3 linked regions of the Kluyveromyces lactis genome follow. The protein of the gene in region 2 purifies or fractionates together with the protein of the main gene of each other region. This does not show direct contact. Links are inferred from orthologs where the notes say so. Each region holds a gene or a part of one and is shown on either strand. Other genes may lie near its edges. The genes, in order: VID24, GID7 and VID28.

The links.
Region 1: the proteins of GID7 (region 2) and VID24 purify together in Saccharomyces cerevisiae (affinity purification with mass spectrometry; 3 studies listed by BioGRID, with this or other methods). This does not show direct contact. The link is inferred for Kluyveromyces lactis from reciprocal best matches to the Saccharomyces cerevisiae genes GID7 and VID24.
Region 3: the proteins of GID7 (region 2) and VID28 purify together in Saccharomyces cerevisiae (affinity purification with mass spectrometry; 3 studies listed by BioGRID). This does not show direct contact. The link is inferred for Kluyveromyces lactis from reciprocal best matches to the Saccharomyces cerevisiae genes GID7 and VID28.

The regions. Positions count from the first base shown.
Region 1 is NC_006038.1:828,321-838,807, forward strand, and holds VID24 (glucose-induced degradation complex subunit VID24), read left to right. Parts: upstream 1-6,093; coding exon 6,094-7,095; downstream 7,096-10,487. Other genes in the region: AIM3 (Aim3p), read right to left, coding at 1-1,126; KLLA0_B09482g (uncharacterized protein), read left to right, coding at 1,522-2,106; ISA2 (Isa2p), read right to left, coding at 2,228-2,800; NEDD8-activating protein UBA3, read right to left, coding at 3,016-3,957; SND3 (Snd3p), read right to left, coding at 4,263-4,835; monothiol glutaredoxin GRX5, read left to right, coding at 7,945-8,373; KLLA0_B09658g (pyridoxine 4-dehydrogenase), read right to left, coding at 9,553-10,487. UniProt on the Saccharomyces cerevisiae protein: Substrate-recognition component of the GID E3 ligase complex recruiting N termini and catalyzing ubiquitination of proteins targeted for degradation.
Region 2 is NC_006039.1:83,462-95,244, reverse strand, and holds GID7 (glucose-induced degradation complex subunit GID7), read right to left. Parts: upstream 5,268-11,783; coding exon 3,114-5,267; downstream 1-3,113. Other genes in the region: SRO9 (Sro9p), read left to right, coding at 1-1,327; ATG22 (Atg22p), read left to right, coding at 1,643-3,121; KLLA0_C01155g (uncharacterized protein), read right to left, coding at 5,716-7,161; GRH1 (Grh1p), read left to right, coding at 8,216-9,382; protein disulfide isomerase PDI1, read left to right, coding at 9,952-11,535.
Region 3 is NC_006040.1:1,336,105-1,347,878, reverse strand, and holds VID28 (glucose-induced degradation complex subunit VID28), read right to left. Parts: upstream 7,739-11,774; coding exon 4,895-7,738; downstream 1-4,894. Other genes in the region: condensin subunit SMC2, read left to right, coding at 1-1,387; MET10 (sulfite reductase subunit alpha), read right to left, coding at 1,457-4,564; SNL1 (Snl1p), read left to right, coding at 8,247-8,873; aspartyl protease BAR1, read left to right, coding at 9,617-11,152; RIB5 (riboflavin synthase), read left to right, coding at 11,649-11,774. UniProt on the Saccharomyces cerevisiae protein: Component of the GID E3 ligase complex recruiting N termini and catalyzing ubiquitination of proteins targeted for degradation.

The sequences.
Region 1 (10,487 bases), on a different chromosome or scaffold from region 2:
GCTGATAATAATCCTGTTGAGGAATGGGAGGCTGTACAATAGGAGCCTGAACTGGTTGTTGATATTGTGGCTGCAAAGATTGGGTTTGTTGTTGGTACTGTGGCGGATATGACTGTTGATACTGCGGTTGTGCTTGCGGAGGTTGTTGGATGGGTTGCTGTTGAACCTGAGGTTGCATTTGCTGTATCTGCGGTTGAACTTGCTGCTGCCCTTGTTGCTGGTACTGAGCATAGGAATCGATATACTGCTGTGGCTGAGTCTGCTGCAGTTGAGGTTGAAAGTAGTTTTGTTGCTGTTGCATTAGTTGCCCTTGATTTTGAATCTGAGGCGAGGGTACCTGCTGAGACTGATATTGTGAGGTCTGCGGCTGAACCTGCGGCTGAACCTGCTGTTGCGACGCCAAGGGAGAGCCTTGGACTAATGCCTGGCCTTGATCAGGGGTACCCATTGATGGTTGGAACTGTTGCTGTAACTGCTGTTGTAGTTGTTCTTGTACGTGTTGTGCATTAAGCGATGGAATAGGGGTATATTGTGGGGGCGTTTCTACGGCAGTCTGATAATTTCTTGGAGGAATTGGTTCAGGATGAAGCTGCTGCATTGGCTGCTGCGATAACTGCTGCCCTGGCTGTGGGATTTGCTGTACTTGTGGTGGTACTTGCTGTTGCATTGGCGGTTGTGGTGGCGGTTGTTGTTGATACATATTCTGCGGAGGATACGTTTGTTGCTGAGTAAGCATAGGAATACTGTTCGCTGTCGGTGTTCTTGGAGGCAACCCTGGGTGTGAAGCAGCATTGGCCATCGGCACAGCAGCAGTATGCACCAGAGGAGCGTTACCAGCATCAATGACAGTCCCATCACTGGATATCTGTTTCTGTCCCGGTTTTAAAGGAGGCGGTGGAAACATCTTAGGATCTTGTAAATGAGACAAATCTGAAGCCGATTCGCTCATATAGCCTTCATCGGAACTCTCCTCAACATTCTTCTTGCCTTGGGAATTGTTATAATGCGTCTTACTGGCCTTATACCCTGCCTTTGCTACATATTTCGTGCCCTGATAACCATATTTTCCGGCGCTTGCCAGACCAGACATAATACTGCCCTTGTTATTATCCCAAAAATTACTCATGAATAAGGCGCTTCAAAGACTTGAGAAAACTGCCACCGCTGACGAAAGAGTGTTCCGTATTATAATGATGTTCTGCAATCGCGCTATACAATGTATAACTAACGAACTACTGATTTATACCGGTCCAAACTCTTGCTTCTCCTTTATTTCCCTTTCGGTTTAGGAGTCAAATTCTGTTCAGTTTGAATCTTTTTCTCAAAACCTTTGATTTTCACTATTTAAGCTGTTAAAGGCATAGAGCCGATCTACATGAAGGTTTAAAGGTTACTACTACCCTAAGATGAAAAGAATGCAGGGGTAAGTTGTCGTTTCCCAGGACCGAGAAGCGTGTATCTAAGCAGAGGTCAATCTCTTGTAATATTGCTGGTCATTGATATAATTTCCTTTCTCGAAAGATGAATGGCTTGGAGCGATGGTATTTTTATCATTCACCAGATGATATTCGGATCGATGTGCTCATTGAAGATCTGCGTGAGTTCTGCAATGTTGATGTGGCTGATATAGATGGTGAAGAAGGAATTTGGCTTATAGATAATTCTGAGGACGAATTACGTGTATTTTTGAGTGATACAGTATGTTGTACTAATAGTCAACAGGATAATCGGATTACAAAGACATTAAGCAAACACCAGGTGTACCTGGTGCCCTTACAGCTTGACAATGAGACTGTATACCAGTTTTTAACAGAAATTACATCCAATATGGACGTTGTGAAAATCGATTATATGACTAGGGACACCAAGTTATTGAATCAATTTCAAATCCAAGTGAACGTCAGCGATTTCCCCGCTGGTTTGCATCTTTTACCTAAATTATTAAGCGATAGGTTAGGGATCTCGAAAGAGTTCCCAATAAAAACAGTACATATTGTCCAGCAGAGAGTGACACTGCGATCGACATATATCGAGCAACCAGACTCATCAAATGCCAATGGTGTTCTATTAGAATATTTGTTAGGATGTAAGAACCTCATAGTTTAACTATACACATTACCATATATGTAAAATGTCATTTGAATATAAGTCATTAGCCCATCAATATGGGGGGAGTGGGGTCATGCACTGCATTATAATAAATAGGATGTTGAAAAAAGCAAGAACATCATGTTTCCTGGTCTAAACCGAAACTGCTACCGCATCCACAACTACTGGTCATACTTCCTCCAGTAATCTTGAAAGTGGAACCGATTAATTCGGTACTATATGTGAGAGTGGTATCGTTCAAAATCTTTAGGGACTGCTCATCAATAACAACTTCGCCGATGGAATCAGGTAATACATAAACGATATCCTTAACAGTCTCAAAATCATCTTCGTCATTCAGGTCATCGGTTTCTTGTTCCTGGTTACCGATTTTCTTGTCAGATTCCGGTACCAGCTTCAAATTGTACTGAAATCCGTGACATCCACCAGATTCAACCGTCACCCTAAGAATCTCTTTTGAAGCCTTGTATATCTCAGCCAGTCTCTTGGAAGCTCTGTTGGTGATGCTAAAATGCAGATCCGGTACTTCATTAATAATCTTTGCTGGTCTGATCGGAGTATCCAATATCGATGATGGTGATGATGATTGCCAGCGTACTCCCAAGGCAGCTCTAACGGGGACCTGGTTCAGTATCCGGGGTGCAAGCGTCAAAGGAGTCCTAGAATATGGTAATAGTCGTACTGGCCACATGTTGTTTGGCTCACTATTCCTCTCTTGTATGTCTTTACGATATTCATTGTATGTACTTGTGAAGTTGAATCATCGTTTCGCTTATTAAAGAATTTCATTCAAGATAATAAGAGGAATATTGCCTATGAGCCGGGAATATCATTAAAAACAGTATATAATGCTTGGCGAGGGTGTGAAGCGAACTGTATATAGAATCAACCATTATATGTCATGTGCTATGCGAACACGCTGCACACGGTACAACTAGCATCCCTTTCATGCCTGTAAGAGAACATGGTTGCACCAGCTTCTCCATTATACATCGTGAAAGTTGGACATGTCTCAATATCGATTTTATCAGTGAGTAAGTCGATAGCTTGTTTGCAACATTGACCAGCAATGATTGAGTTTGTAGTAGTAACGCTGGGTATAATAGATTTTAGTACGCCCAGAACGTATCTTGTTGTTAGAGTTGAATGGTGTATGTTGAATTCCTCCGCTCTATGTAATGATTTTTCGTACAACCACTGTAGATCATCGGGAGACTCCAAGTCATGAGGTCTGTTAGGAAATTCTCGAGGCCAGAGAATGATGGAAGCGTATTGAATGCAGTGTGCTAGGGTTCTTGGGTTGGATGCAAGTGTACAGAGCGGATAAGTTTCTGTATTTTGCGGCAGCGTGGAAAGAGAACATTCGTAACATGAGGTGAACCCAGGCACTATGAGCTTACAGTTACCCATAAGTCCCTCCGTGGCACCGTCTATGAAAGGTATTACGGTCTTGAAGTTGGATTTGACAGTTACATCGTGTAATTTGAAGTTGATCCAACGTCTTGCCTCGATAGAATCGAGTCCGGATACGATTATATCGAATTGTGAGATGAAGTCATCGTTGAACTGAGTCAAATCTTGATTGTGAGGCACCACATGCACAAAACCTGTAACTCCATTCTTGCAAGGTATTTGCAATCTATTGATAGCTTCTGCAGCTACAGACGCTTTTGGTTTGCCAATATCACGGGTACTGAATAGAAATTGACGGTTCAAATTGGTCAATTCGATGGTATCCATATCGACAATATGTAATTCTGGCAAACCGTACAGCGCCAATGTCTTGACAATCTCACATCCAAGACCACCGGCACCAAGGATCAATATTTTTACATCACTGACATCCATTTTGCTTGGAGGATATTGATCTGGTCGGCTCGATCAGTAACAGTTAAGGGTTGGGTCTGATCTTTATAGAATAATATTCACGTTTCTTTCAAATAAAGTGCGAAGTCTATGTGTACAATTTAACACTTAAACACGAAAGAAACTGAACAAAAGCTACGATAAAACATCCTATTGAGGTATCTTAATAGTTGTATACATACACGCATGTACATTTATATACATATATACGTGTTTATTTATAAGAGAATGGTGAGAGATGGATGAAGAAAACACATGATTGGAAAACGCAACGATGCGCGTCCCGATTATTCAGCTTTGACACCACCGTTACCAGCCTTTTCAGCAGTTTCGATAGATTTCTTGTCAGTCTTTGGTTCACTGGCACCACCGGCACCACCGAACAAAGATGGAGTCTTGAAAGGTCTCTTCAAATCACCAGAAGCTGGTTTTCCGAACAAATGAATTTGAACTTCGTTATGTTCCAAAGCGGACTTGATTGGTGAGATGGTTTGCATGAACAATGGGTTGGTGTATTTCATGTACAAATGCATGAAACCCATCATAGCCAAACCAGTGTAGATGGATTTAATGGCAGAATCAATCTGTTGTAAATCGTAATCACGAACGGTAGTGACTTCCAATTTTTTCTCGGTTTGACCACCCAATGGGTTAGCTGGAGCCACGTATTTCAAAGTGGCCAAATCGTTCTTCTTAACGATTTGAGCTCTAGCGTATTGGTAGATGGACCAAGTGATGGCAACAGAAGCGACATAAGCGATACGGATGTACAACACGATCGAAGGATCCTCCATATCCAAACGACGAGATACTTGCATCATGATCAACATGATGACTAGGTTACTGATTTGAGCATTCATGGTGGTGGTTAGAGAGTTACAGCTGGGATTGGCTTGGTAAGAAAGAGCACTTCTCTTCTAACTATGAATTGCTTATCGACGGCAGATTCCAGTGGACAAAGGACAACTAACTAACTAATTATTAGAAAAGGCATACATAAATCAGTAAGTATATAAAGTTGAAAAAGAGTAGTTCCGATAATACGTGCAACAAGTAGTAGTGCATCATTTAATAGATACGTATGTGAAAAGATGGTATACAGATTTTATTTTAAATTCCAGTCTGAATGTGGAAGAAGTGACGAGAAAATCTTTTGACGATGAGAGAGATACCCATTGTGTTACCCGGAATAACGTTGAACGGTGGCGAAAATACAAATATAGCAAATATACATATATCCGGGTAACATAAGCGGGCGCGTTATAACAGTAATCACGTGACTAGAAGAGCCACACTTTTTTGACAGCATACACCGAGCGTAGAGAAAGAAAGAGTTAGCTGCGCTAAGTTGTTACCCGCACCTCGGAACAAACCGGATCGGGCTATGTCTGTGAATGTTCCTTTCCCCTGTAGCAACATTCTCTCGTATTTCTTTTTGTGAACTTTGGTCCTTCTTTGATTCTTCCTCCGCCATTTCGTTGGGTACCTCTCTGTTCCAACTTGGTGCCGGAAAAAAAGAAAATCCAAAACGAAAGGTTTTTCCGGGTATTTTGCCCAGAAACCGGTGCACAGTCTCTTCGATATTTCCCCCCGTTTCTTTTCCTTCAACACCAGACTCGCACCTCGATCATAATTCACTCCTGAACACATTTACTCTCTTTTTACTTTTTTCCATTATGTGTCACTCCTTTCACCTATGCAGCCATTTTACTTCTGTCTCTGCCTTGTTCATTGGTTTTTCCCAGTCCAGTTGATAGGATAGAGTCATGGTTGGAACTGGAAATCTTCCTCTTCCGCGTGTTTCATTGTCGGTTTCTTTGCCGTGTTTTATTTCTTTTCCTTTTATCTCTTTTTCTTATTTCTTTATCGATGTCGATCTGGTCTTCGCTTTTTAAAGGTGGCCTGGTGATGCTTTTTATATTACCTTCTTGATTGAGATAGTTATTATTATTATTATTACTATATATATGTATATATACCGAGTGGTTATTGTTGGACGTATTAATCTGTTCGCTGCTTCATCGCAGATTGCCTTTGTCAAGTGAGTTAGTTACTTGCTTTAGAAAACTAGTTACAACTTACAAGTTGTAAGGCAAGATACATTCATACATTTTACAGATGATCAACGAAGATACACGTTCGCATAGCTCTGGGTTGGAGACGCAACTCGCCAAGGCGAGTAGCTCGTCTCCATATAAGGGTCAGGGTCAGACCCAGGAACAACAGCAACAGCAACAGCAACAGCAAAAACAGCAATCACCTATAGCATTCCCTGCGCCTTTGACTCCTTTTTTCCATAGAAACCCATATTTCAGGAACACTTCGCTGCACAGAACTGGGTCTCACGATTCTATCAATTCGATACGGCGTTCGCATGAAAACTTTCAAGATTCGGAGGATTACGATATCCAGGACTCATGCTCACCATCTTTGAACTCGCCTCCTAGATCGAGACCTCAGACTCCCAAGAACCACGAAAGAACTCATTGGCTAGGGGCTAGAAAACGGTTTGTTGGGTACCAACTCTCGGGATACAAGAAGTTCCAAGTCATGATCACTATCCAATCTGTTTCTTTACCAAATGATAACGAATCCAACTGTTGCTCGCCTCATTTGACTGGATTCCTCTCTATAAAGGGTCTCACGGTACAAAATCCCGAGATCACCACTTTCTTCGAATCCATCACCGTAACGGATTCTCTAGGGTTTCTATCCAAAGATATCCCAATAGATTATGCGTCCTATAAGGCCTCGGACCAGACTGATTTGGAGCATTGGTTGAATTTCCCATCTTTCAAAGAACTTTGCATGCAAAACGATCCAAAGTATCCTTCTAAGAATATTCTACAATCTATCATCGATGGTACTTACTCACATACCGATTACTTGAATCAAAGGTTCCTTTACATGAGGTGGAATGAGAAATTCCTGGTGCCTGATGCCGATTTGGAATCAATAGATGGTGCATCTTACGACGGCTACTACTACATAGTACACGATCAATTACTTGGTAACATTCTGGGGTTCTACTACCATGAACATGCTGAAAGATTTCAACAGTTAGAATTGCAACCTTTACAAGAACCATCAATCGGAGATTGTTCATTCGAATTTGCATAATTAAATGACATTAAAATAAATAAAACCACATCTTTCATGGGGTGTTTTATTTTCATTCTTTTTTTCTGTCTCTTCTAATTTACCAAGTTCCTTGCTCCACTCATTTACTTCAAATTTCAGTTCAAGTTTACTTCTACACCACATTACATTAATTCAGTTAATATTCTAATACCAATTTACGCTTTCACTTTTCATTTCTACCTAATCACGTCTCTAATGTCATATAAATAATGGGATATACATCGTTACAATTTACTGCTCGATTTGTTTCTCCTAGAAACCGAACGTCATGAAAAAAAAAAAAGAGGCCCTCGATGAGGATGAAGAAGGGGCAAAAAAATAACAGCTCGCACTCAGGATCGAACTAAGGACCAACAGATTTGCAATCTGCTGCGCTACCACTGCGCCATACGAGCTGGTTTCTTGCACAAATGTTTTACTTTCAGTTCATATCGGGATTTGTGAACCATTGCAAAGAACCATGTCACGTGCTGCTTACTCATCACAGTCTTTATTCACCTTAAACTTGGCCTCCAAACATTCTGAATATCTAACGATTCTTCTTTGATGCCAAAGTAATTCAAGGTTACCCACTCCATTCACTGAATTCATAGTTTTGTACTGTCTTCTCAACTCGTCTTTCAGTTTTTTGCCCTCTATCCTCTTAGTCACTCGGCTTAAACATTTCGGAAACTTTATAATTCGATATTTCACTTCTAACCAACATATAAAGAAATACTGAAATACTGAACTGCGATACTCCTTCCAACGTTTGATTGATATTTTTTCAAGCCCAGTAAACTAGCCTCACAGTTAAAATCGCTTCGCTCAGGTTTTCCAATACCAACAATGTTCTCAAGATTTTTGGCCACTAAGAGTCCGCTCCTACGTCCTGCTTTCAGATCACATCTAAGTTTCCAAAGATTCATATCACAAGAGACAAAGAAAGCTATTGAAGATGCTATTGAATCAGCACCGGTGGTTTTATTCATGAAGGGCACTCCAGAATTCCCACAATGTGGATTCTCTAGAGCTACAATCAATATGTTAGGTCAACAAGGTGTCGATCCAGTGAAGTTTGCTGCTTACAATGTACTTGAAGACCCTGAGTTACGTGAAGGTATCAAGGAAATCTCCGAATGGCCAACCATCCCACAACTATACGTTAACAAGGAATTTGTCGGTGGATGTGACATTGTGATGAACATGGCTCAAACGGGTGAATTAGCTAAACTGTTGGAAGAGTCCGATGCTTTGGTCCCAGAAGAAGAAGATTAAGTACATTTCACTCGGCGCAACTCTGGCTGCAAAAAACTATGTATGTCTATAACAAGCTGCAATATTTATAATTGATTTTATGAGGAAATATGATCTTATGCCTTTAGACTTGTGAATAATGGACACTGTATTCACAAACTCCGCTCTTTTGAAGTTAAGATCTTAAAATTTGGTGGCAGTTGTAAATTTCTGTCACCAAATTCGTGCAAGTTTGTTCTTCGTCTTGTGTGAAAGTGAATTCACATTGAAAAATCGTAAACGTTTTCAAAGAAAATGTCTAATGCATGTAACGCCCTCAGTCGGAAGTACTTAAACAATCCAGTCGAACACATTACTGCACCGCCAGTGATGGACATAAAGAAAAATGCACATCAGGCACGACAAGTTCCCGTTTACGTGAAATCACTCAAATAAAGAAAGACGATGGTTCGGTAGAACCTAGAGAAAAAGTATCGTTCATAGAAGTCTCGCTGCTGAGCTGGGTCCTTTTTTATGATCTTTTTACTGATCACATGAACAGTCTAACTTCGAGCTTCTCAGCCTTGAAAAACTGAGCAAGACTGCCTTCGTAGTAGCATCCCATCTCATAACGTACACTTCCTCTGGCTATATACTAAAACACAATGAGAAAAATGCTCTGTTTACCAACTCTGATAGACCATTACCATAATGACAAAACGGAATAATGATCCATTGAGACTTATGTGGTAATTTTATACTTTTGATCTATGTTCATTATCGTAACTTCAAGGAGATAGTGTATAGATAACTCACCAGAAGCCAGTATGATAGTCAGAGATGAACATCAGTTGTTATCTTGGGCCATAAGACCAAATTGATACCAATTTTACCAGACTTCAATACTTCAAATGATTAAAGTAAATGTGAAAGAAGTATTGTTAACTTTGAATTTTTTTACCTATTTTAATAATTTTTCCATTCTTTTCTACTAGTATTATTTCAGTGTCAGTGGAAATGACAGAAACATATGACAGAAACTGAAATAAAATAGAACGCTCTATAGTTGGTTGCTGATCCTATGTCATGGCGATATCATTGGCATACCTGCTTTCTTAGAATATGATAACATTTTTTTTATATTTGTTTGGATATATTCAGCTACACTGGTACGTGACATATTGACAAGTTCGTAAAATCATGGAATCATTAACATAATATCTAACGAATCATCTCGTATCTTCCACCGACAGTTTTGAAAGATTGTAAAAATTTGTCAATCTTTGCTAGTTCCTCGTCAGATAATTCTATGAAACTATAATTAGAGGTTACCTTGTCCACAGTTGTTCCTGAGGGAATAGGAATAATTTTAGTATTTGGATAGTTCTTACTGATAGCCCGGATCCATCCGATTGCTACTTGTGGTAAAGTGACGTTATCAGATCTTTTAGCGATAATTTCGTTCTCTAAAAATTCGACTAAAGACTTGTTGTGAGCGAACGCGTCATCTTGGAATCTCTTCAATTGAATTCTGAAATCACCTGCTGGGATATCAGAGCTCTTGGCCAAAGCACCAGTTAGCAAACCTCTACCCAATGGAGAGTAGGCAACAATTGGCAACCCTAGTTCGTTACAAGTGTCGACAATACCGTTCGAGAGAATTTCAGCAGAAAACATGGACAATTCGACTTCAACACAGACTAAATATTCACCATACTCCTTGTGAATGGCTCTGATTTGTTCAGCGGTTACTTCACTCAATGAAATACCACCAATTTTACCCTTCTTGACGTATTCAACGATGGTGTCAAATGTTTCACGAGGGAAAACCGATTCACCAGTCTTCTTTATAAGTTCAAGGTCCAATCTTGCTGGCTCATAGATGTCCACATACCCATTGAACACTTTAAGAGTGTTTTCGATAGATGCGCTAACACTCTTAGCATCACCGGCTGGGCTCAAGGTTTGCAAGTCAACAGCACCTTTAGCACTGATAATTACCTTTTCACGATCTTCCGGATACTTGTCAAAGTAGGATTGCAACAACTTGTAGTTGCTCAAAGGTTCACCGTAGAATTCACCAACATTGAACAACGCCTTTTTATCACCAGTAAATTCAAGAACTTTCTTGAAGGTTTTGGACGCAGCTTCTGGGG
Region 2 (11,783 bases):
GAAGTTAGTGTTGGCACCTTTGCCAAAAAAGTCTCCTTGGGAAGAGACCGGTGTCACTGAATATAAGCCTTTAGATTTGTCAAAGGTTGTTGCGGCTAAAAATAAGAAAGTCTCCAGTTCTAGCAAGTCTCGTAGTAAAGGTACTCCGTCTTTGACCGGTAAGGAAAGATGGGTTCCATTAGATGTGGATATCACTGTTAAAGACAAAATTCCTGATGTCAGTAATGCTAATGGCGGTAAGGGTAAAAAACTGAAAAATAAGACCAAGAAGGATAAGCCAAAGGTTGCCAAAAAGACCAAGGGTAAAGACTCTACCGCGAAGCCCAAAAAGGACTCTGAAGGCGAAAAGAAAGCAACAAAGAAGCAGGATCGCCAGACAAACAAGACATCGAGCTCGAATGGCACCAACGAAAAGATTTCTGTCAATGGAACTACTCCTGCTTCTGCCTCGGGTTCTTCTGATATCACTAAAAACGGATATACTGAAGAGTCTAACCAAGCGGACAAGAGACCAGAAACGGCATCCAGTTCAAACTCTGAAGCTTCTTCCGAAAACGGTATATCTGCTCCACCATCTGCTGAAACTGATGGTAAGAAAGTTGAAAGCCAGCAACGCCGCTTTACTCCTAACTCTAAGCCATTTTACCCAAGAAACGCAAATCACCACAACAACCATGGTCATGGGTACCACCACCAGCATAACAAAAATAACCATAATAATGAGAATCATTACCATGGTTCAAAGTATCAACGTCAACGTTCGTACGCTCCTGTAATGTACCAACAGAATTATACCCCATCGTACGTCTTGGTTAATGAGATTGTCCGTCAAATCCAATATTATTTCAGCATACAGAACTTGAGCAAAGATATGTTCTTAAAATCGCAAATGAATGCTCAAGGTTACGTTCCATTGGCATTGATCTCAAGATTCCATCGTATGCTAAACTTATCTTACGGCGATGTCGGATTGATTCTAGCTGCATTACGAGAATTGAAAAACTCTGAAAACTCCAATGTCAACATTGCTAAATTGACTGAACCTTTCGAAAATGTCGTTGGGAATCCTTTGTTCCAGTATGCATTAAGTTCTAAAGTTTGGACTGCTGACGAATCCATTTCTGAACCAAAATCTTACGACACCGTTGAATTCGTCAGCGATGAATTAGAGCTATTTAAAATTGAACCAATCAACCCAATAATAGATTCATTACCATCCTTCAAACCAAACTCATCTACTGAAAAACACGAGCAAAACCAAGATCAAGATCAACAAGAATCTTCAGAAAATCAAGAAAATCAAAACCAAGAAGTCTCTGTACAATAGTGTTCCCTTGTCAAATATACTCTTTTTATTTTCTACCCGTTCACTGCATATTATATTTAACAATCAAGCTCTCATCCACATAATAACATATATATATACACACACAGTTAATCAAACAACTTCCACTTTTTTTTTTAATATTTGCTTTGCGTAAAAATAGTCGTTATGTGAAATGCTTTCTTTCTCTTCACTTAAAAAAAACCTTTAATTTCGAGGACGTTTCAAGGGAAACAGTTTAGTTTAGACAGTCGAGCATTACCACACCAAAACACTAACCACAGCGCGCTCGAAAACAAACACCACACTTGCGTCGTGATGAGTTATGAGGCAGTTCCTGCCGAGAATTCGGCTTTTATACCTGATCAAGCCAAACGTAATATCAAGGGATGGTATTTCTATTGCTTCTCAAGTGAACCCTTCATAGTCAGCGCTGTTTCCACGTATGTCCCATTATTGTTAGAACAGTTTGGTAGGATTAACGGTGTTAAATTGGATGATCATAGTCTCAGATGCGAAGTGAATGATGATAAGTGCGTACTACCTATGTTTAATGGAAGATGGTTCATTGATACATCTAGCTTTGCATTATATACCTTTTCCCTAAGTGTTCTATTTCAGACGTTACTAGTAATCAGCGTCAGTGGTATTGTCGACAAATGTCAGAGCATAGCATTTAAGAAGAGAGTCCTATTATTTTTTGGAACAGTTGGGGCTTTAGCGACATGGTTTATTGGTACACTTAGATCAGACCAGTACTACGTATTACCTTTGCTTGCAATAGTCGGAAATTGTAGCTACGGAGTCATTAATGTTGTAGGAAACTCATTGTTACCAGTGTTTGTGGGATTTTTGGTTGGAAATGAAGATCAGCTGGAAGTTGATATCAAAACTTCTATTATAAGCGGTCGTGGTGCTTCTTATGGATATTTCAGTGCGCTTATCGTACAATTATTTTCAATATTGTTGGTAAAACAAAGCAAAAACCACGACAATCTTCAAATAGCGATTCTATTTGTAGGCTTATGGTGGTTACTGTGGCAAATACCGATAGCATTTTTGTTACAGGATATCCCCCGTGACACAGATCAAGAACAGCATGAGTTTACATGGGCCAACACCGGAAATTATATGGAATACGGCTGGAACTCATTGTGGGAGTCATTGAAGCACGCAAGATTGTTGAAAGACGTGGTAATCTTTCTCATTGGGTGGTTTATTATATCTGATTCTTTGACGACAATTAACTCTACTGCCATTTTGTTTGCCAAAACGGAGTTGAAGATGACAGCTATAAATCTAATTACTCTAAGTATCATAACGATGGTTATGGCAATGCTTGGTGCTGTCTACATACCCCATTTATTAAGCGAACGTTTGAGACTTCCCTTGCAGCAGGTTTTGATCATTATAATCATTTGGTCTAGTGTTATTCCATTGTATGGGATGACGGGATTTGTATTCCAAAACATTGGTTTGAAACACAAATTTGAGATGTATATCTTGGGAGTGTGGTATGGTGTGTCCTTGGGAGGCTTAGCTGCTGTGTCGCGTTCGTTATTCAGTTTGCTTGTACCACGTGGGAAAGAATCTACATTTTTCAGTCTTTTTAGTGTAACTGATAAAGGCTCCTCAATACTAGGACCACTGTTGATCGGCTTAATTACAGATAAAACTCATAATATTAGGTATGCATTTTACTTGTTATTCCTTTTTTTGGTGGTTTCACTACCAGTCTTCCACGGTTTGGACGTGGAAAGAGGAAAAAGAGAAGCTAGACAATTGTCTACTATGTAGCAGATACCCTCCATACTTTAACTAGACCATCATCACCGCCGGATGCAAACATTGTTTGATCTTGAGGATTCCATGCAACAATGTTACATATCTTTGATTGTGAACTTGTCGAATTTTCCGAATGGGCAGGTATTACACCAATGATATTACCATAGAACCTATCCCACAAATAAATCTTTCCATCCTCGGAACCACTTGCAATAAAATTTGAATAATAACCGAAACATGAACGTATTATGAAATTTGATTGGATTTGACCGATGTACCTTTGTATTAAAATATCTCTTTGATAGTCCCAAAGTTGTAGCTCTTGGTTTTGAATCGAGACTAGTAATAATGATGATAGTGATGGATCTGGAGAACATTGAGAAGTGTCTGGGAACTGCATTCCAGTCATTCTTTTACCGATCAATAATCGTCTCTTTCTGGGAGAAACGAACGTTGCATTCTCTTTAATGCAGTATTTCAACGTTGATATGTCAAACACATCAATGTACTTCTCATTATTCATCACAATCAAGTCATTATCATCAGATGAAATCTTGATATCATGAACATGAGGGAAGGACGACTTTAAATCTTCTCCCATAGTCATCGAAATTCTAGCGAAAATGGTAGCCGTTTTCATGTCATAAATTATTACATCAGAATCCGGAGAACCTAATACGATGAAGTCTTTCAATTCGGGATCATGGAACCAATCTCCACACCATAACCTCATAGTTTCAGCTGATGCTGGTGTATTATTAGATGAAATGGCAGATGAATCTGAAGTCGTGGGGAATGTAACAAATACGGATGCTACAGGTTTAAGCTGATCATATTCGCATAAATAGCCATCATATGTAGGGGGGGATAGCTGGTTTAGGTCATATATTTTTGCAGCGGAGTTGATTGAACATGCGATCAATTTCGTGTTGTCAGGGGAAAATTTAAGATATAAAACAGACTGACGAGTTTCACAACATATAGCATATATTTCGAAGTTATTTTTTACATCATAGATGATGATTTTCCTTTCGAATTTCTTTGAGGGGCTTGCACTGGCCAAAAATCTCCCATCTGACGAGAATTGTAAGAACCAGATTTCGTCATTGTTGCGATTCAATGTTTTGATGTTATCAAATTGAAACTGAGTTGATTTTGTAACATTATCCTGTAACAAATTATAGGTACTTGAAGCACTTCTTTTAGTACCAGTTGATGAATCCTCAATATGAAAGCTTAACAAATCTCTTGAACGTTGGTATTGAATTGCTTGTTTCAATAGTTGCATTAATCTACCACGAGGAACTAAATCATTAGGATTAATAAAGTGAGCGATGTGTTCAAATGTGGCCTCTCTGGTAACGAAAGGTGCAGCATTGGAGTTTTGACCACATACAATCAAGGTAGAAAGCTGCGATAATAAGTGTTCAGGTTGGAAAGAGGAAAAAGAGTTGGAATACATGACATCATTTCCTGTTTGCCACTGTATTTCTGAGTCATATTTCATTGTTTGCAGTGTTAGCAACGTATCCCAAATCGAGATCGTAGGTCTAATGACAAGCCTTAATAATTCCAAGGCCATTCGTCTATCTGACATCAAAATCTCAGAGAAAGCCAAAGTTTGAATTGCAACTAGCATTTCCACGCATATAGTTAACTTAACTATATCAACGTCCTTGAATTCGGACAGACGTTTCATCACGAAACCTAGTTTCTCATATTCAGCGAGAAAGTGGTCAATTATTGTGGTTGAAATGTTGCGTTTTGTTTGGGGTAATTCGACATGTGATAAGTCACCTGATAGTTCAAGGGACTCGAGAAATATGGGTAGCTGAAGCAATAGATCCAACGTACAGTGGTAAAACCTACCCTCTTTTATAGCAGAAAACAATGACTTCACATGAGTTGATTCGACCAATATCCCACCGCTCTCCTTTTGTAAGGTAATTGCAGTTTCTTCATATCCGATTTGTTTTAAAGCATCAATCAACAACTTTGTTAACTGCACTCGATCGAAAGGTTGATCTGATCCGTCAATGTCTAGATGTGACAAAGGCTTTTTGGTATATTTAGGAATGAACGAGTCATGGCTAGTAGGGACAGTGCTGACAGAAGCATTGCTCTGTGAAACGTCTGATCCTGCGGTTTGAACAGCCATAATTTTTAATTTCGACCAACCTATGAGTGATTTGTGATTAAAGAACCTGTTCTGTAAGCTTTGCTTGGTCAATGAGTTCTGTAAATGATTGTAGCAACTCTTTTATCTTCAACTATTCTTTCGTGAAGTAACCAGTGAGGGTTGGTTTAAATTTTATGAAATTGTCTTTTAAGGGATTTCTCGAAGAAGGGCAGTTGTAAATCAAAGGAAAAAAAAAGGTACGATACCAATAGATAAAGTAAGCTTACATAACAAAGTTATAAGAGAGTGAGTTGAATACATTAAACAGATTTCTGGCTACTGTAACTACATAAAAGTAAATGTGCGTTTGGTGCTCTGTAGCGAATGTATTGTTATTGTTTTTCATCCTTTAAAGTCATTCATAGACGTAACTGCATTATATGCGGAATTAAAACCAAATCAAAATGTTTAAAAAATGTCATTAAAATTAATAATTTGCATGCAAAGCACACAAAGCAGCGCCAACACCGGAACCATCCTTGGAGATACGTAGATGGACATCACGTTCACCCTCGGGGCCAATTGGAGAAAGTGCTAATGCATGTCTCATCATAGATCTGAATCCTGGATAGTGCTCAACGACACTACCGTCACAACCAACCTCTACTTGGCAGTGATAACTCTGGTTCAAAGCGTTGGTTTTGATCAAAATTGCAGCAATTGGCACTGCGGCTAAGAATGCAGCTCTCCTGGAAATAGCTCTTACCAATTTTTGGATCAAGACACGTTCTTCGAAGGTGGTCTCCAAGTCAGCAGCCTTTAAAAGAGCATCCCTTGTGTCCTGTAAGTCGTTCTCAACGGTATCAATTTCGATATGTGATAAAGTTTCTGTGGTTAAAATAAAGGGATTGTTCTTTAAAACAGATTCCTTCAAGTCGAATAACTCTTGTTTTTCAAGGTCTAGTAGTATGTTACGAAGTATTTCACCCAAATAAAGACCACTGACCCTTTTTTCAAACAAGTGGAACCCGGGATTGGTGGAGAACTGCTGATCAATCTTAATATCATAACTTGTAGTAGGCAAATGATTTAGTTCATTATCAAAAGAGCCCCATTCGGTATTGATGCACATATGGGTCTTCCCCTGAGACAGAAGTTCTTCTCTGCTAGCTGGATCCAATTTGTGAATATTTTCAAGCTTTTCCATGTAGCAGCCGTTCGTACCAGTACCAAAGATACAGCCAATTACTGGTTCGTTGATGGCTCTTGCCGCATCACTGGAAGCGTAACAACGAGCCAATAGGGTTCCAGTAGTGTCATTAGTCAATGCAACCACATGAACATTTGATAACCCAATATCGTTCAATTCTTGTTGGAACAGTTGAACAACGTCTTGCCCAACAGTATCACCGATCTTGAAACCCTTGGTCCATCTAATCAACTTACCACTGCTCAAGGAGGTTTGATCGACTGGATATGAAAAAGTGAAACCCATTTTCCATTTGTAATCTTGAATTACATCCTTATGATGTTTAGTCAAAAACTGATGCGTGATCAGGGCCATATGTTGGAACAAATCCTTACTGGTAACATGATGATCGTCCTGGAAGAAGAAAGTTGGAATCTTTGACTTCTCTTGTTCAATCTTGAATTCATGATTACCTAATAGTTCCACAGAGCAAACTCTGAAATTAGTACCACCTAAATCAGCTGCCAACATGGTTACTCCATGTTCCTGACCGGATGGCTTGTCAGTCACAAACGTCGGAATCATAGGCAACCCTTTGTTTTGACTGATATCTGATTCACAGGGTTCTAATCCCTTTTCCATACAATCGATGAAATACTCAGTCAACTGAGATATCTTCGATTTAGTAACAATGAACTGATCGCATATAGAATCAACCGCCTTGGTTAACTTAGGATCTGACATTATGCTCTAGTTGTTATTCTTTTAGCTTGTCTTGTCGTGTCTTGTCTACTCTTTAACAAGAATCCTTGATCTTTTCTACAAAGTAAAAAGTATGAATTATCCTTTCTCAACTACAGTCACTCTCTTATATTATAAAGTAGAAGAAACTGCGCACCATCTCCAGTTGAAACTGTTTTTTTCACGGTTTTTAGAATATTTGAAAATTGTCACCTGTTAGTCACGGTCGCCGTTACCGTTACTCTTGGCTACTCGAACAAACAACGTTATTGACGCATAAGAAAATGCGGGGTCACGTTTTGGTTGACCTTATGGGCCGAATGTGTGTATTGGCTCAGAAGATCATGGTATATACGAACCAGTGAGTGCTCTGGGCTAGACCAGTTTATACATGTATATACGAACCTGTACTCGTTGTTGTGGATAGATACGCACCAGTGTCCTTAAAAGCCGTTTCGCGGCTTGCCTACCGATTGGGCAATCACCGGGAATTCACGTGTATCAATGCTGAAAGGCAGGTTGTTAATTAGGTGGGGTGGGAATGTAGAGTCCTGAAACTGATAAAAAGAATTCAAAGTACTACTATTTCAGCTTTGAATACGTCAGTCGAAACAATGTAGAGATAATACTATGTAGCACATTTGCAATTGTACTTTTAAGTTTCCTTTCGCGTTGAATGGATGGGAAGAAGGTGAGAAAATTGTAAGGCTCCTGAAGGTAGAGATTGTCGTTTCTACTTAAAGACTATCTCGATCGTCTAGCATGCCCGATAGTCCATTGTCAGAGCGTTACGTTGATGTTTGGCTGCTATTTCCACCGGTATGAAATGAACCATTAGCGTTTTGTTTGTAGGTCACGTGAAATGCTTCTGAAAACTCCAAAATGGTTTCCGTTTTCCTATTGCATGTTTTCTTTCTTTGAAATCTTTAGCCAAAGGTTGAATGTAGAAAATACTCGTCTGATCTAATCTAGTCCAGTCTGGGGTGATCCTACAACAGTACCTTGGCACACCGGCTATCCGATTTGAAACTGTTATATTTGTCATTGCAATATAATTATGTTCAGAATAGCGAAAAATCTTGTCAGAACTCTTGAAGAGTCTGTTACTGGAACGGTTGGGGACAAACCTATTGATTCATATTTTCATTCAGTACCACCACAATTGTTCCCGATAAGGGAAGATGACCCTAGATATGCTCATCAAACGGATTCTCTATATGGTTTAAGAGTGGTACAAGTTGACGAGTCGCAATTGCAATTAACTTCGTTCTTTGATTATATCATTGGTTTCAATAACCAACCGATCCCCTTGGTACAGGATGGTACCATGGGTGCATCACAGACGTTCTACCCAGATTATAAAAGGATTATATCATTCTTCAATGAGCATTGTGGCAACACTATCAAGTTACATGTATGGTCTGGTAAAGGGGGTGTTTACAGAGAGGAGTATCTTTACGTCTCGGCGAAAAACTCTGTGAGCGAGATCCCGTTGGATGAAACAGATGCGCAACAATCCCTAATGACTTCTAAGATGTTTGAAGCGTTAGGTTTCAAAGTGCAATGGACCCCATTAATCGCTGTTACGTATAGTTACCATGTTTTACAACTAAACATTGAAAACGGACCCGCTATGCAAGCAGGATTGATTCCAGATCAGGATTACATTATCGCATGCCAAGATGGATTGCTAGCAACTGGCGGTGAGCATCTGTTACAAGACATTGTCAGATCAAGAGCGAACCATTCTTTAGTACTATACGTATACAACAAAGCCGTGGATTGCGTAAGACCTGTGACGGTACACCTTGCTGCTGACGGAAGGCTTGGATGCAACGTTGGCTACGGTTTCTTGCACAGAATCCCGGCACCTATCCAAAATTCACAATCAATTATCCACTCTCCAGCAGCCGTTGAATCTCACAATTCAAACAACATCATCCACCCAATTACACAACCAACTTTAATTCCTGCGACGTTGGCTAATAATGCGGATAATAAAGAAACGATGCCTTCAAACCCACTTCAGGTACCAGTTCCGGTTGGAAGAAGACAAGCACAGCTTCACCGCGGTTCGAACACTACCAATGCTGCGGCTGCTTCAGCATCAATGGCTGACTACTTCCAAGAGGGAAAAGATCAATCACCAAGATCCTCATCAAAGGCAACCCCTCCTCCTCCACCTCCAGCTTCTTCTACTGCTAGTAATACGGCTTCAGACTGAATCAATATACAGAAGAAAAAAAAGAGTAACAGAAGCAGTAAGATCCTTAAGGGCTCTGCTATATCGATATATTAAAGTATAAAGTATACTTCAATTGTATATACCATCAAGTATAACAACCGCTCTCATCTAGTAACTTCTATGGTGCAGCGATCGGTAAATGTGCATACGTAATGTCAAAAGATCAACGATAATCTATGAAATTCAGAGTACTCGTTACCCGCATGTACATATCCTTCCCATAATACCACTCTGTCATTTTGGTGCTTTTTTCGAGTTTTCGTACTGTTGCCTCCAAGTACACGGCCACCTTAGGTAAAAGAAAAAAAAGGTATATATAAACTAGATTTGCCATGTAACTTCGATCTTCTCGTGTTAATAGTTAATTATGAGTAAAGATAAGTCTGTACTTTATCATTCATTCAGTTTTTGATCTTTCCGTCAAGTTAACAACTCCGTTGATAATCTTTCCTCTTTTACAACGCACGCAATTGGAATCGGGTGTTTTCAAGAACTAGTTTCGGTGTAGTCTGATAGTATAAGAGATCGATAGAATCGCAAAGACAAAGATGTTGTTCAAGAATACCGTTAGATTTGGTTTGGCTGCTTTGATGGCAGCTAGTTGTTCTGCTCAAGGAGATGCTGTTGCTCCAGAGGATTCTGCTGTTGTTAAGTTAGATGCTGATACATTCCATGAATTTATCAAGGAGCATCCATTAGTTTTGGCCGAATTCTTTGCTCCATGGTGTGGTCACTGTAAGACTTTGGCACCAGAATATGTGAAAGCAGCAGATGAATTGGAATCTAAAGATATTCCATTGGCTCAAATTGATTGTCAAGAAAATCAACAATTCTGTCAAGAGCAAGGAATCCCAGGTTACCCATCTTTGAAATTATTCAAGAACGGTAACCCAGAGGCTGCTGGTGAATACCAAGGTGGTAGAGACGCTAAGGCTATTGTCAACTACATGTTGAAGCAATCTGAACCTGCTGTGCAAGTTGTAGAAGATGAAAAGGCTTTCAATGAAATTATTGCCAAGAACTTGGATAACACCTATGTTGTCGACGGTAGCGTTCCAGAATTCAATGAAACTTTCTACCAAGTCGCTGATTCTTTAAGAGATGACTACAGTTTCATTCAACACGGTAGTGATGGAAAGTTGTCCATTTACTTGCCAGGTGAATCTGAGCCAATTGTGTACGAAGGTGAAGACTTTGACGCCGAAACTATTTCCACTTGGATTGCTGTTGAAGCATTCCCATACTTTGGTGATGTTAACGGTGAAACTTACCAAGCTTATATGGCTGTCAAGGTGCCTTTGGCATACTTCTTCTACACTTCCCCAGAAGAACGTGAAGAATACGAATCTCACTTTGTTGACTTGGCTAAGAAATTCAGAGGTAAGGTCAACTTTGCTGGTTTGGATGCTTCCAAATTCGGTAGACACGCCGAGAACTTGAACCAAAAGCAGCAATTCCCATTGTTTGCCATCCATGACACCATTAAGGACTTGAAGTACGGTTTGCCACAATTGGCTGATGAAGAATTCGCGGCTTTGGAAAAACCAATCACTTTAGCCACTGAAGAAATCACCAAGTTTGTTGAAGATTTCTTGGAAGGTAAGGCGGAACCTATTGTTAAAAGTGAAGAAATTCCAGAAATCCAAGAAAACTCTGTCTTTAAGATTGTTGGTAAAAACCATGAAGAAATTGTCCGTGATCCAAAGAAGGATGTTTTAGTTGAGTACTACGCTCCATGGTGTGGTCATTGTAAGAAGTTGGCACCAACTTATGAAAGCATGGCTGAATTTGCTCATGAAAATGACGAATTGAAAGATAAGGTCTTGATTGCCAAGATCGATGCTACTGCCAATGACGTTCAATCTGTCGAAATCCCAGGTTTCCCAGTCTTATACTTGTGGCCAGCCGGTGAAGAAACTGAACCAATTCTTTTCGAGGGACCAAGAACTGCCGAAGCTTTCCTAGCCTTCATCAAGGAAAACGGTTCTCACGGTGTTGATGGCCTTGCCCTTTACGAAGAATACTTAGTTGAAGTGGAGAAGAAGAAACAAGAAGAAGAAGAAGCACAAAAGGCGAAGGAAGTTGAAGAAGTGGCTGAAGAAGATTCTGAACTAGAGCAAGATGAATTGTAAATAAACCCATATCTCGTAACCCATTTTACTACCTCTTATTTGTAAAAGTTCTAACCTCGAACATCAACAAAAGTTGGTATCGATATTTTATACATATGTAGTATACCTTTGAATAATAGATTTATCCGGTATTGCATATACTTTATGAAAACCCTTCATGCTATTCTTCCTTCTCGGCGTCATGTGTTGCATATCGTCTCTAAATGGGTTTGAATTCATCTTTATTTCAAGCAATAAAATTTAATCAC
Region 3 (11,774 bases), on a different chromosome or scaffold from region 2:
GAAAGCTGAAAACTCAAAAAATGTGTTATCCGAATTGAATTTAGCCACACATAAGCTTAAGTTAGCTGAGAAGAATGCACATGCTAGCAACGCAATGCAGCTATTTAACCGTAATGAAGAAATTCTAACTCAATTGAAAAACTGTGAAATGCACATATGTCAGTTGACATCATTGACCAAAGAATACGAAACTGAGATAATAAACATTCAAAGAGATATGGAAGAATTCAATAAAGACAAGGGTTCAAAGCTCAGGCAGTTAGAAGCTAATCTCTCTGAAGTCTCTGCAGAAGTGGAAAAATTAGACACTGATACGGCTAAGCTGTTTGATGAATATCAGAACTTGAGTTTTGACACAGAACAGCTACACACAGATATTTCTAACGCCCAAAATGAAGTATCAATTGCAGAGAAAAGGCTTGCAGAACTGGAAACAACGTGTAATGAGTACGAGGGCGTTGTGAGGACCAAAAAGTCTGAACTTCACGAAGTACACAGTATTTTACAAGAGGAAATGTCCAGACTTTCAGGAATGGAAGATGAGATATCAGAACTAGAGTTATTGCTTAAAAATAAGAACCATCTACTTTCAACTTCGGAAGTGGATTTACAGAAGATTACAAACGACTTGCATAAATACAAGAATAACACTTTTGGCATCGATCAAGCCATTGAAAATTTAATCAACGAAAATGATTGGTTGGAAGATACTTCCATGGTCAATAGCATCTTGACACAGAATAAGAACATTAATCTAGATCAGTACAAGAAACGTGGTTCCGATTTAGCCGAAAGCTTTCAGAGCTTAAGAAGGAAGGTGAACCCAGAGGTAATGAGTATGATTGAGAGTGTAGAGAAAAAGGAAACGGCATTGAAAACAATGATTAAAACCATTGAAAAAGATAAGCAGAAAATTCAGGAAACTATCGAAAAGCTTAACGAATACAAACGAGAAACTTTAATAAAAACATGGGAGAAAGTCAGTGTAGATTTCGGAAATATTTTTGGCGATCTTCTCCCGAATTCATTCGCCAAATTGGAACCTTCAGAAGGTAAAGATGTAACCGAGGGATTAGAAGTTAAAGTTAAATTAGGTAAAATTTGGAAAGAGAGTCTGGTAGAACTCTCTGGTGGACAGCGTTCCCTAATTGCGTTATCATTGATCCTTGCATTGTTGCAGTTCAAACCTGCACCAATGTATATATTGGATGAAGTGGATGCCGCATTAGATTTAAGTCATACTCAGAACATTGGTCATCTTATTAAAACCAGGTTTAAAGGCTCCCAATTTATCGTTGTATCGTTGAAAGAAGGTATGTTCACTAACGCTAACCGGGTGTTTAGAACTAGGTTCCAAGATGGTACATCAGTAGTTAGTGTTATGTAATGATTCTCATATACCAAAATAAATAGATTGATAAATAATAAACAGTATTCAACGAAACACATAAAAAAATCAGTAAACTTCTAGGATATATCTAGAAGTTTCCTTTAAGTCTTCAATGGCAGCATCCAAGTCAACGTTGATGCCCTTCTCCTTCGCATCTGCAGCAATAATATCTTGTAGAGCTTGAGTGATATCAGGAACAGGCCACGTTGGACCACATAAGTAGAAGGAACCTTCATTGTCAATCATTGCAGTCTTCAACTCTGGCAAGTTTTCTTTGATACGATCTTGGATGTAAATCTTTTCAGGTTGATCTCTGGAGAAAGCGGCACCGATGTGAGTGATAATTCCAGCATCCTTATAAGCTTCCCATAATTCACCGTATAAATATTCTTCTCTCTTGTGTCTAGAACCCAAATACAAATAGACTTCACCGATTTCATAACCTTGTTGTCTTTGCCACAATTTTTCTTCTACGATAGCCTTGAAAGGTGCTAAACCAGTACCTAAACCACTCATAATAACTGGTTGCTTTGGAGATGGTGGCAACTTCATAACACTTGGTTTCACAGATACAACAAGTTCAGAACCGATAGCTAAATCAGAAATGAATTTTGAAGCTTGACCATATCTCTTTCTTCCCTTATTATCAATCCAGTCCACAACGACAATCAATAAATGGACTTCGTTAGGGTGGATTCTTTGAGAAGATGCGATAGAGTATTCTCTTCTCTTCAATGGGGCAATTATTTTCACAAGATCTTCAACCGATGGTCTGGCTGATGGGAATAACTCGAAGATATCGGCATAAGTATAGTACTCGACATCTTGTAAGCGTTTTAATTCAGTAGCACCGGCAGCAGAAACTAAGTTTTCTAGCTTACTCTTCTCTTTGTCGTCAGTACAAAAATCGATCAAACTCTCGTAGAAGCGCTTTGGTGGTTTACCGAAAATATCAAGATTTTCGACGAAGGCTTGCAAAACGGTTCTTGACTCTAAGTAGTGATGGTCATCCTTATTTGGTACCTGAACAATGTCACTTTCATTCAAACCATAGTACTGCAAGAATTTTTGCACATTCTCCAAGTTGTTTTTTGCATGAACACCCAATGCTTCACCAATATCGTAAGTCATTCCTGTCCCAGAAATGTCAAACTCAATATGGAAAATGTATCTATCATAGTCATCTGGAGTGACACGTCTGTTCTCCTTAACTTTAACGACATAATTGTTAACGGGCAAATCAGGCCTCAATTGTTGTGACACTCCGTAAGCTTCTTGGAAAGTCAACTTCTTTGAAATTTCAGCGATCTTAGCAATTTCAGTCTCTGGTACTTCTTCGGTAAATCTCTGGTTTGCAGAGAATGAGGTTTCAGTGACAAAAGTTGGTAACTGATGGATTTCTTCTTCTTTTACTTCTTCACCCTTAGCTTTATCTTCAATGAATGTAGCGTAAACTTCATTTGGAATGGCCTTCACGCCAGTTTCAAGGGCAGTACTAATGGTATCAGACAACACAGCAGCAAGTAATTCGATATCAGGACCTGCTGAGTTCCAGATACGACGAATGATGCTCTGTTTGTCATCGTTAGTTGCAGCACTCCAGAAGACAGCTTGAGTGACGAAGGACAAAGTACGACCTTTAGTTTCCTCTCTGTCACCAATTGTTTCAACGTCGATCAATGTAACATTGATCTTCTTTTCAGCAACAGTGGTTAAAAATGCTTCGTTAATTTTCAATTCATCAGTGTAGAACTTCTTATCCTTTAAATCCTTATCAACCAAAGAGCTCTTCACCAATACAATGATGGAACCTTCTTGCTTCACAGTGGAAGCTACGTCATAAGCATTTAAAATGGAAATGTCTTCGACAACAATCACATCGGCAGAGTCGATATTAGAAACAACACTTTTCGACTTTGATGGATGCGAAGTGAACTGTGCTTGGAAGGTACCTGCATTCCCAATGTTGTCAAATTTCGTTCTCAAGGAAATATCAACATTATCGATCAATGATAGACCTTGTACTAATCTAGCAGCCAAATCCAAATTATTACTGTTGTCAGTGGTCCAGTAAATGAAGTTTTGGGAATTACTTGATATCTCCAATTCGAAACTTGGGATGAAACTAGTAACAATTTGCTTAACAGCCTTTGGGGACCAAACAAAGTTTGGCTGATAGATGTACTCGGCAATGGTTAAAGTTCTCTTGTTGTGGAAGAATAACGCACCTGAAACCTGAGATCTCAACCAGGATGGAGACTGGCCAGTTAGAGATTGGCCAATTACGACAATTTTCTTAACAGTAGTAGGAATCAAAGAAACAAATTTCTCAGTGTCAAATGGCAATGGGATTCTAACAGCAAGTACGCCGACCTTAGAGCCACTTTGATTCAATAGAGAAGCAAAAAGTTCGGTCTCCAAAGAACCATAAGTAATGAAAATAGTTTCAGCAGACTCATTACCGTAATATTGGAAGTTGTGCAGTCTCTCCGGGGAGTTCTCATTGAAAGCATCCAAGATCTGATCAAAAGTAGAATCGTCAGCTAAATTCAACGATTCAATAAATCTATCTTGCATCTTATCTTCCACTCTAGTGACAGTTCTCGCATATTGGGCACCATCAAATAACTGAACTGCACCCAAACCTGAACCGTATTTAGCCAATGCCAAGGTCAATAACGTGGTAGCTTTAACTTCGGAGATTTGCAATGGTGTAATGACAGGGAACCCCAAATCCTTTGCAGCTTTCAAAGGAGTCAAATAATCGTTGATTATAGAACCAGAAGCCTCATCATAATCCAACGAACCAACGCTAAAGACGAATTTCGACTGGGTGTCGATTTCTTGTTTGAAACTGCTGACGAAATAAGGCAAAGCATAACCTGGAGTGATAATACCAGCAAGGTCGGAAGAACCCTTAGCAAAACCCAAAGTAGTCAAGCCTGCACCTGATCTTACGTCCAATTCCTTAAAGAACAAACCGTTCTCTCTTTCAGCTAACTTTTTGATAGAAGCATCCAATAAATCAGGGTCTGAGAATGTTTTGTAACTGAAAATACTCTTCAGATTTCTGAACAACACAGAGTTAATTGCATTCACTGGTGTTGTGAAAGTTGGCAACTGAGTGCTCTCAGTTGGAAGACCAAATGGATTGGTCACATATGATAAAGACATTGCGTTTGCGTTGTCAATGTGATTGATGCTGCCTTTAGCTAGAACAAACTATCCTACCATTAAAAACTTATCGATGCAGTAACACACAAAAACACTTTCTACCTTTATATAGTTCTAACGTAAATACTGAATGTTACATCGCTGGAAAAAGCTTTTTCCTATAGAAGACTTGCCCCGGTCCTGTGAAGCTCTCTCAGGTGCACGCTCACTAAGCTTCGAGAGTTTCGCTTAGTTCGATTTCTTTTTCGTCATTTGAATCATAGAGCCACAATTGTGGGATATTGTCACGTGATTTTGCTTCATCAAATCACCTGAACAGGCGGAAGTGGCTCATGCATGTGGTGGAATAGTGGTCTTCCTGAACGTTTCCATTTGGTATAGTAGGGTCTTAGCACGTTCCTTTACGTCTAAATCGCCGTTCCAATCCAAGATTTTCTTTACTGCGTCATTGAAACCTAGCTTATCGAGCTTTTTGAACCTTATGATTGCTGGACTTAAAGCCGAAATGTTTCCAGTGGTAGTTGCTGGGCGGATGAAATCTTTATGAGGATCAGTTGAGTCCTCTTCTTCGTCATTACTTTGCTCCTCTTCGTCGAAATCACCTTCTCGCTCTTCTTGTTCTGGGACTTCTTCTTCTTCTGAAGACATGTTTGATGCTCGTGCATTTAATGGCATTCTAACGAGAGGATCATCGTTTCTGTCTTCGAGAGCTGAGCTGCTACCTTCTTGAAGGGCCCAGTCCGTGTCGAAGTGCGGGTTTCCGTTTTCTGGTAGAGAATTATTGTAAGGGACGTGCTGGATGGAGGAGTCCCATATTAGATTCGTGATTATCCAAAGACACGCTTTAGTAATTTCATCTCCCTTGGCCATTAAGATATATTCTTTCACGATATCTAGTAGTTCATCCTGGGAAATAACCAGGTTTCTCTTGTTTTCATTTATAGCGGTGAAATTGACCACTATATAGAGTAGTGCTTCAGCGATCTTATTGTCACTGTAATAACTGTCATCATGCAATACAGTTTTCAATTTCAAAGCTAAAAACCTTAGGAACTGGTTTCCCTGAGTACATGATTCATCTCTTCCACTGACTTCTCCACTGCCGTTATTTGTGTTCGCGAGCATATCTGTATGTTTGAAGGAATCTAATATCATGTTGATCACCTTCCTCGAATTACATGTCAAATTTCTCAACAATTGGAAACATTGATTTAGTACGCTGGGCTCAGCGGAATGCACAAATTGTAGGATTGATTCTAAGTCAATCTGAGATAACAATTCTAGTTTGTCGCATGTCTCTGAATTGTATATCAAATGCCTCAAGACCCAAAGGGAGTTCGTCTGGATGACCGTAATTTCGGAATAGACGCTTGCCTCGTTATGGAATACTATAATCGGATTCCCCTTTGCAAATTCTGGCATCAGGGCACGATCTAAATACTCAGAGTTGAATATAGGGTTGGTAAAAATGTGTTTAATCAATGCAATGATTCCGTTCTTTTTCATGAGCGTTCTTAAAGAAGAAAATTCGACAACAAAGTTTGACATTGCTCCTAACAATTCGCCTAGTAATATTAGCTCTTGGCATAAGAGGTGCGGAATTCCACCATCATACGTCATTGAAACGATTTCATAAATCTCTCTTGCTAATTTTAGAGTATAATCTGCTAGCTTATTTCTCTTCAACGATGTCCTTAAAACTCCCACACTTCTGGAGCAAGCCTTCAAGCACTTTGCCCAATTAGTAACTAATTCAGAATCAAAAAGCGGTGGTAAGGGTGCCATGTTCCTCAATTGTGTCCAATCCTCACGGAAATTGTTCAAGATTAGCAAGTGTGAACTGAATGCGTTCTCCATATATTGTAAAACCGCGATGTTCTCCAAAAACAATAGCCTACACCTTTCATCCTTACCTATAATTTCAGAAAAGAACTTTAGATAATCAGAAAGCAGTTGAAGTTTGTTGGTGTCTTGTTTCTCCAGGCTCAATAGTCTTAAAAAAGTGTCTATCATACCATTCAATAGATTCGAATCGAAAAATGTGTCAATCACAACATTTTCCGGTTTATGTGCGACAGTGAACTCTGTTGCTAGAGAACAAAGGATTTCTAAAGGGGAGAAAAATATTGGTAGCTCAGGTTCATTCAAAGTCGATATGAGAGTAGGTAACCATAGTTTTATCGGGAAGGGCAAGTTGCTATCCGTATTTGAGCCGAAATCACTTCTATTTTCCGAGTACCAAGAATCTCCAAGTTGACAATAGAAGAATGATAAAGCCGACGTTTTCAATCTTATATCAGGGTGTCTTAATAATGAAGCATAGAACACATTGACCTTCATATCCGCCAAGAAAGAGAACTGGTTTCCACCATTCGATTGCAATACTGTTAACAAGTTTGATATCACAAAAATCAATTGAACGTCAAAAAGGTCGCTAATATGCAAGCATTGCGGTAGGGATTCAAATGGTTGAATCTTTTGTTCACTTCCCGCTGAGCCCCTGCTCTTATTCATGAGCTGCGCACCGGTGTTGTTAGGATCGTAGAACACATCATAGTCCATGTCATATGACTCCTTGGCTGAAGTAACCATAGCGTATTTGAAATTGACTTTGGGCACATATTTATCCACATAGAAATTAAACACATCCCTCAAAATCAGCACTAGGTCCTGACTTGTCATTACAAATGGCAATGTGGATAAGTATGTCATATATTCCAATACGATTTCTCTGTATATAGATTCATCGGTCCGTATGAGACGCTCAGCTGCAAGCTTAAAGAAACTCAAAGGTTCCACATAATAGAATTCTTGGAAGAAGAACTGCTCATTTGTTTCCGCCTCCGTGCAGTTCTCTACACAGATTCTCCTTAGCTTGACATACTTAGCAATATCCTCAATCATGGAGTCATTTGGAATCTGCATCTCTAATACCCTAACAAAGATCTCCGTTCCATATTTTCCAAGCTCCCTGCAGCTGCCCTTGTCTAAGTGAGATAGAATCAATAAGACATCCAATTTTAAGGAAAGATAGTGTTTGTAGTCTATGATAGCATCAAACAAGTCCCTGTGATCTTTGTAGAAGTTGAATTTGGCACTTTGGTCACCGATGAGGCCCTTGCGAAGCTCCAAAAGCACCTGCTTCGTGACTCTCTGACGTTGCTGAGTAACCATTGTTGTCTTATTTTGCACTCTGGCCACCGCGCGGTTGTCTTTTGAAGACACCCTTATTCACTCTTTCACAGGTTCGAACTATGTCAAATCCCTTAACCGTGAATGTAGATATATGATGGAATAGCGTTCTTGGGCAAAACTACAAATAAAGGCAGAAAGGATACAACTTATGGTGCGATCTCACTAGTCGGGGGTGTTAGGATAGACGGATGGTACTAGGTAAGCGATTGATATGTGTATTTACGTATTTTGCTACGACTATGAGGAGAGATAGGAGGTTATTTGCTTACGGTCACGTTTATTGCACGTGATACGATAAACGAACATGCATAAATACTGGAATGGGTACACTACGTCCAGTTTGAAGTTCCATGACTATCAGTAAGCAGTTTCACATGTCTATTTGGTATCCTTAACCTTCTGGTGATACACCTCAGTGTTATTGCATTCGAGATTTCTAACTAGCACTGTTTCACGCAGAGATATATATTGTTGATATTATCAACATATGATGAAAAGTTTCACGAGATCAAGCAACTTGACAAGACAAAGCTGCGAAGTCAGACAGGACTCTGTGGTATCTCATCAATTGGTAGATAGTTTCCCAGTGGCCATGGATAAATTACAAGAATACGCACATGCGTGCTTGGTTGATTTGAGAAGAATACATTCTCTGGAAGATGCCTACCAATCAATGACAGTTAGAGTGTCCGGTATAATGATAGTGACAGCATTAGTGCTATGGATCTCTAGTGGTACGACCAAAAAACCTCGTGGGAAGAAGTCTAGAAAGTCTAAGAAGGGAAAACATGCTGCTAAGAAGAGCCAAAAAGAGATTGAGAAGGAGAAGTTGAAGAACATGTCTGAAGAAGAAACCATCAAATACGTTCTCGATAAATTTACCAACGAATACGAAGAAGGCTTGCATAAGTTGTTGGAAAATTACGATTCTACGTCTGAAACCATGCAGTACCAACGTAATTTCTACAATGAAATGCTTTTACACCTTCTATTGGATTTAGATGGTGTTCATCTCGGTAACTTGGAAGGTGAAAAGAAGGAACAGGTGCGTTTGCAAAGAAAGGCTGCTATTAAAAAGATCCAATTAGAATTGAAGAAGTTGGATAAGCTGTAATGATTGATAGCAAACAATAGATTGATTGGTGGAGTTTTGCCAAATACTGAGACACAGCCAGAGCAAGAGAATAATGATCTCAAAAAACAACGAACAAAGCAACCCGTATAGTGTCGGTGGTTTAAGTAACCGTGTATACTAATCTTAATGAATGATTCAATTCAATCTAAACATTTACGGGAATTTACTGAGGGGAATTGGAGCGAGCAATATATTGTACTAATGGCTAGACCTCTCAATAGACCAGGTCACCCGAGTTCATTCCACAAACGACAAAACACTACAAGAGGATAGAGGACATACTTAACAGCTAGTTTCAGTTCCTGCAGTTCCTGCATTCTTAATAGGCAGCATCTCATATGCCACGATGATGATAGGTACAGGGTTCTCAAGTCGTTCTTCATTTCTGTTGTATGTTGTAATACTTATTGTGGTAACCAAATCAGGTAATTTGTATGACAGAAATTGAAACTAACCGTGGAAGGTTATTCGCAAAATAGTTCTTGGAACTATGAGCAGTACTTGATAGATATTCACACTTAAGTTTAACCGTAAAGATCTTCAGTTTGGTTATGACGACTTAATTTCTCAAATAGGCAATTACACAGTGACATCTTCAAGACGGCCATTAATAAAGTAAAACATATATAAAAGTACTAATTGGCTCAGATAGTTGAATGATATCGTCATCTTCTTATTCCCAATTCATATTACATAGTTGGTAGGTATCAACGAAATACACCATGATTTTACCTTCTCTCACAATTCTATGTTTACTGACATCTTTAATAAACTGTCGTCAAATAGAGTTCGATCATGATTCAAAAGTCATTCAGCTGCAACTACTTAAACCAGCTGATAGAAGTCTACAGAAAAGATCTAAAAGTTTTGAAAGTAAACTAAATCCACAGGACTACTTTTATACCGTTGAACTTGGTGTAGGTACACCATCGCAGAAAATAAATTGTATATTCGATACTGGATCGTCAGATTTATGGGTACCGGCTAAGAGTAATCCATTCTGTCTAGGAAACAAGCTAGATACAAATGGTACTAATGAATTCCATGGCACAGAAATAACACCAATACTGGATTGCGATAAGATTGGCGTTTTCGACCCAGGTTCGTCCTACAGTCTGAGTGCAACTGGGTATAATTTCTCCACTCAGTACTTTGACGGCAGCTATTCAGATGGGTTTTGGGTCGTCGATGATATTTCAATTGCCGACCAGCAGGTCCCAGATCTGCAATTTGCAGTTGCTAATATATCAAGTGCTCCATCAGGTGTACTAGGTGTGGGACTTCCTAGACTGGAAGCAGTTCGTGGATACGATGGAGCCCCCAATGCGAATTACGATAACTTTCCGCAGACACTGAAAAGTAATAGATTGATCAATAGGGTGTTGTACTCGTTGTATTTCGATAGTGGAGACCTAGAAAGTGGAACAGTGCTCTTCGGAGGTATCGATGAGAAAAAATACGATGGTGTGCTGTATACTTTGCCATTAGTCAATATATATGAACAGATTGATGAACCCGCTGCTTTTGATATCACTTTACAAGGACTTGGAATAAGAAGTGAATCGAATTGTAAAGATACTGTCATCGCGCATAAAAAGGCCCCAGCACTACTTGATTCTGGTAGTACAATCATGGGAGCTCCTCAAGAGGCACTAGAAAGTATTGCCCAAGAACTGGGCGCTGCATTCTCGGAAAGCGACGGGTTGTATGTGTTAGATTGCCCAGCATCCAATGATGATCGCACATTTTATTTCGATTTCGGTGAATTGAAACTGAAAGTGCCAATACATGACCTCTTATATCTACCTGAATCCGGTCAGAATTATTGTGGGTTGGCAATAATTGCGAGTGGCGAAGAGTGGATCCTGGGGGATCTTGTTTTGAAAAGCGCATATGTAGTATATGACCTTGATAACTTGGAGATCTCTATTGCCCAGGTAAAAACCACGAGCGGGTCAAGAATACAAACAGTAAGTGCAACAGGCTCTCTGCCTCAAACTAGAAAATCAAATTCTACCCCCTGGAGTCTGTCTGGCAGTACCAACTCAAGTACAGACTCTGTATTTGATAAGCCTTTACCTAAGAAATGTCAAAAATCACCCTCTAAGACATGTCCGGCAAAGAAAAAAGGAAATAAAAGAGAAGTCTTAATCAATATACATGACAATCTAATTATGCTTGAAAACTCTGGTTCTTCTAGTTTAAGACCATCCTATCTGCTTTGCGCATTGTTAGTACTCTTCCATTCTCTCCTATGACCTTCTCCGGTCAGTGCTGGATAATGGTGAAAAAAACTGACGCAATAGCACAAACGACCGTTTGCCTACGTTAAGGCTTAAGAGCTTCTTGCATGAATATCACGGATCAAACTCTGCTTATCTGAACCTTTATTCCCACAGTTTAGCTTCATGGTAACGGCATTTGACTATATAAAGAATGAATCACTGACACTCAATGGACGTTTAAAATCAATATGTAGTTCAGTAGAAAAACACTTTTAAAAATACAATACAAACGCTTCATTATACCATTTTATCTGGGTGCCCTTGAACACCTCTGAAGGCATCACTCCTGGTCCTCTCATTGCCTTCCTGTTCCCTCCATGCTCTGCCTTCTCTTCACCTCATTTCTTTCACATTTTCAGGCTGTATGACTAAATGAGAAATCTCATGTCTGAGTAGAAAGTACATCTCGAGGAAACCTATGTTGGCAAGGAAGAGACTTACCAAAACATAGCCGAGTATAACCGCAAGAATGTTTACTGGTATTGTAGAACATATTGGTACTGTTGCTGAGTACAAAGAGTTGGACGAAACTCTTAGTGGTGGTAATGGTGTTTCGGTGACCATTAAAGATGCGGCCCCAGTTTTGAGTGATTGT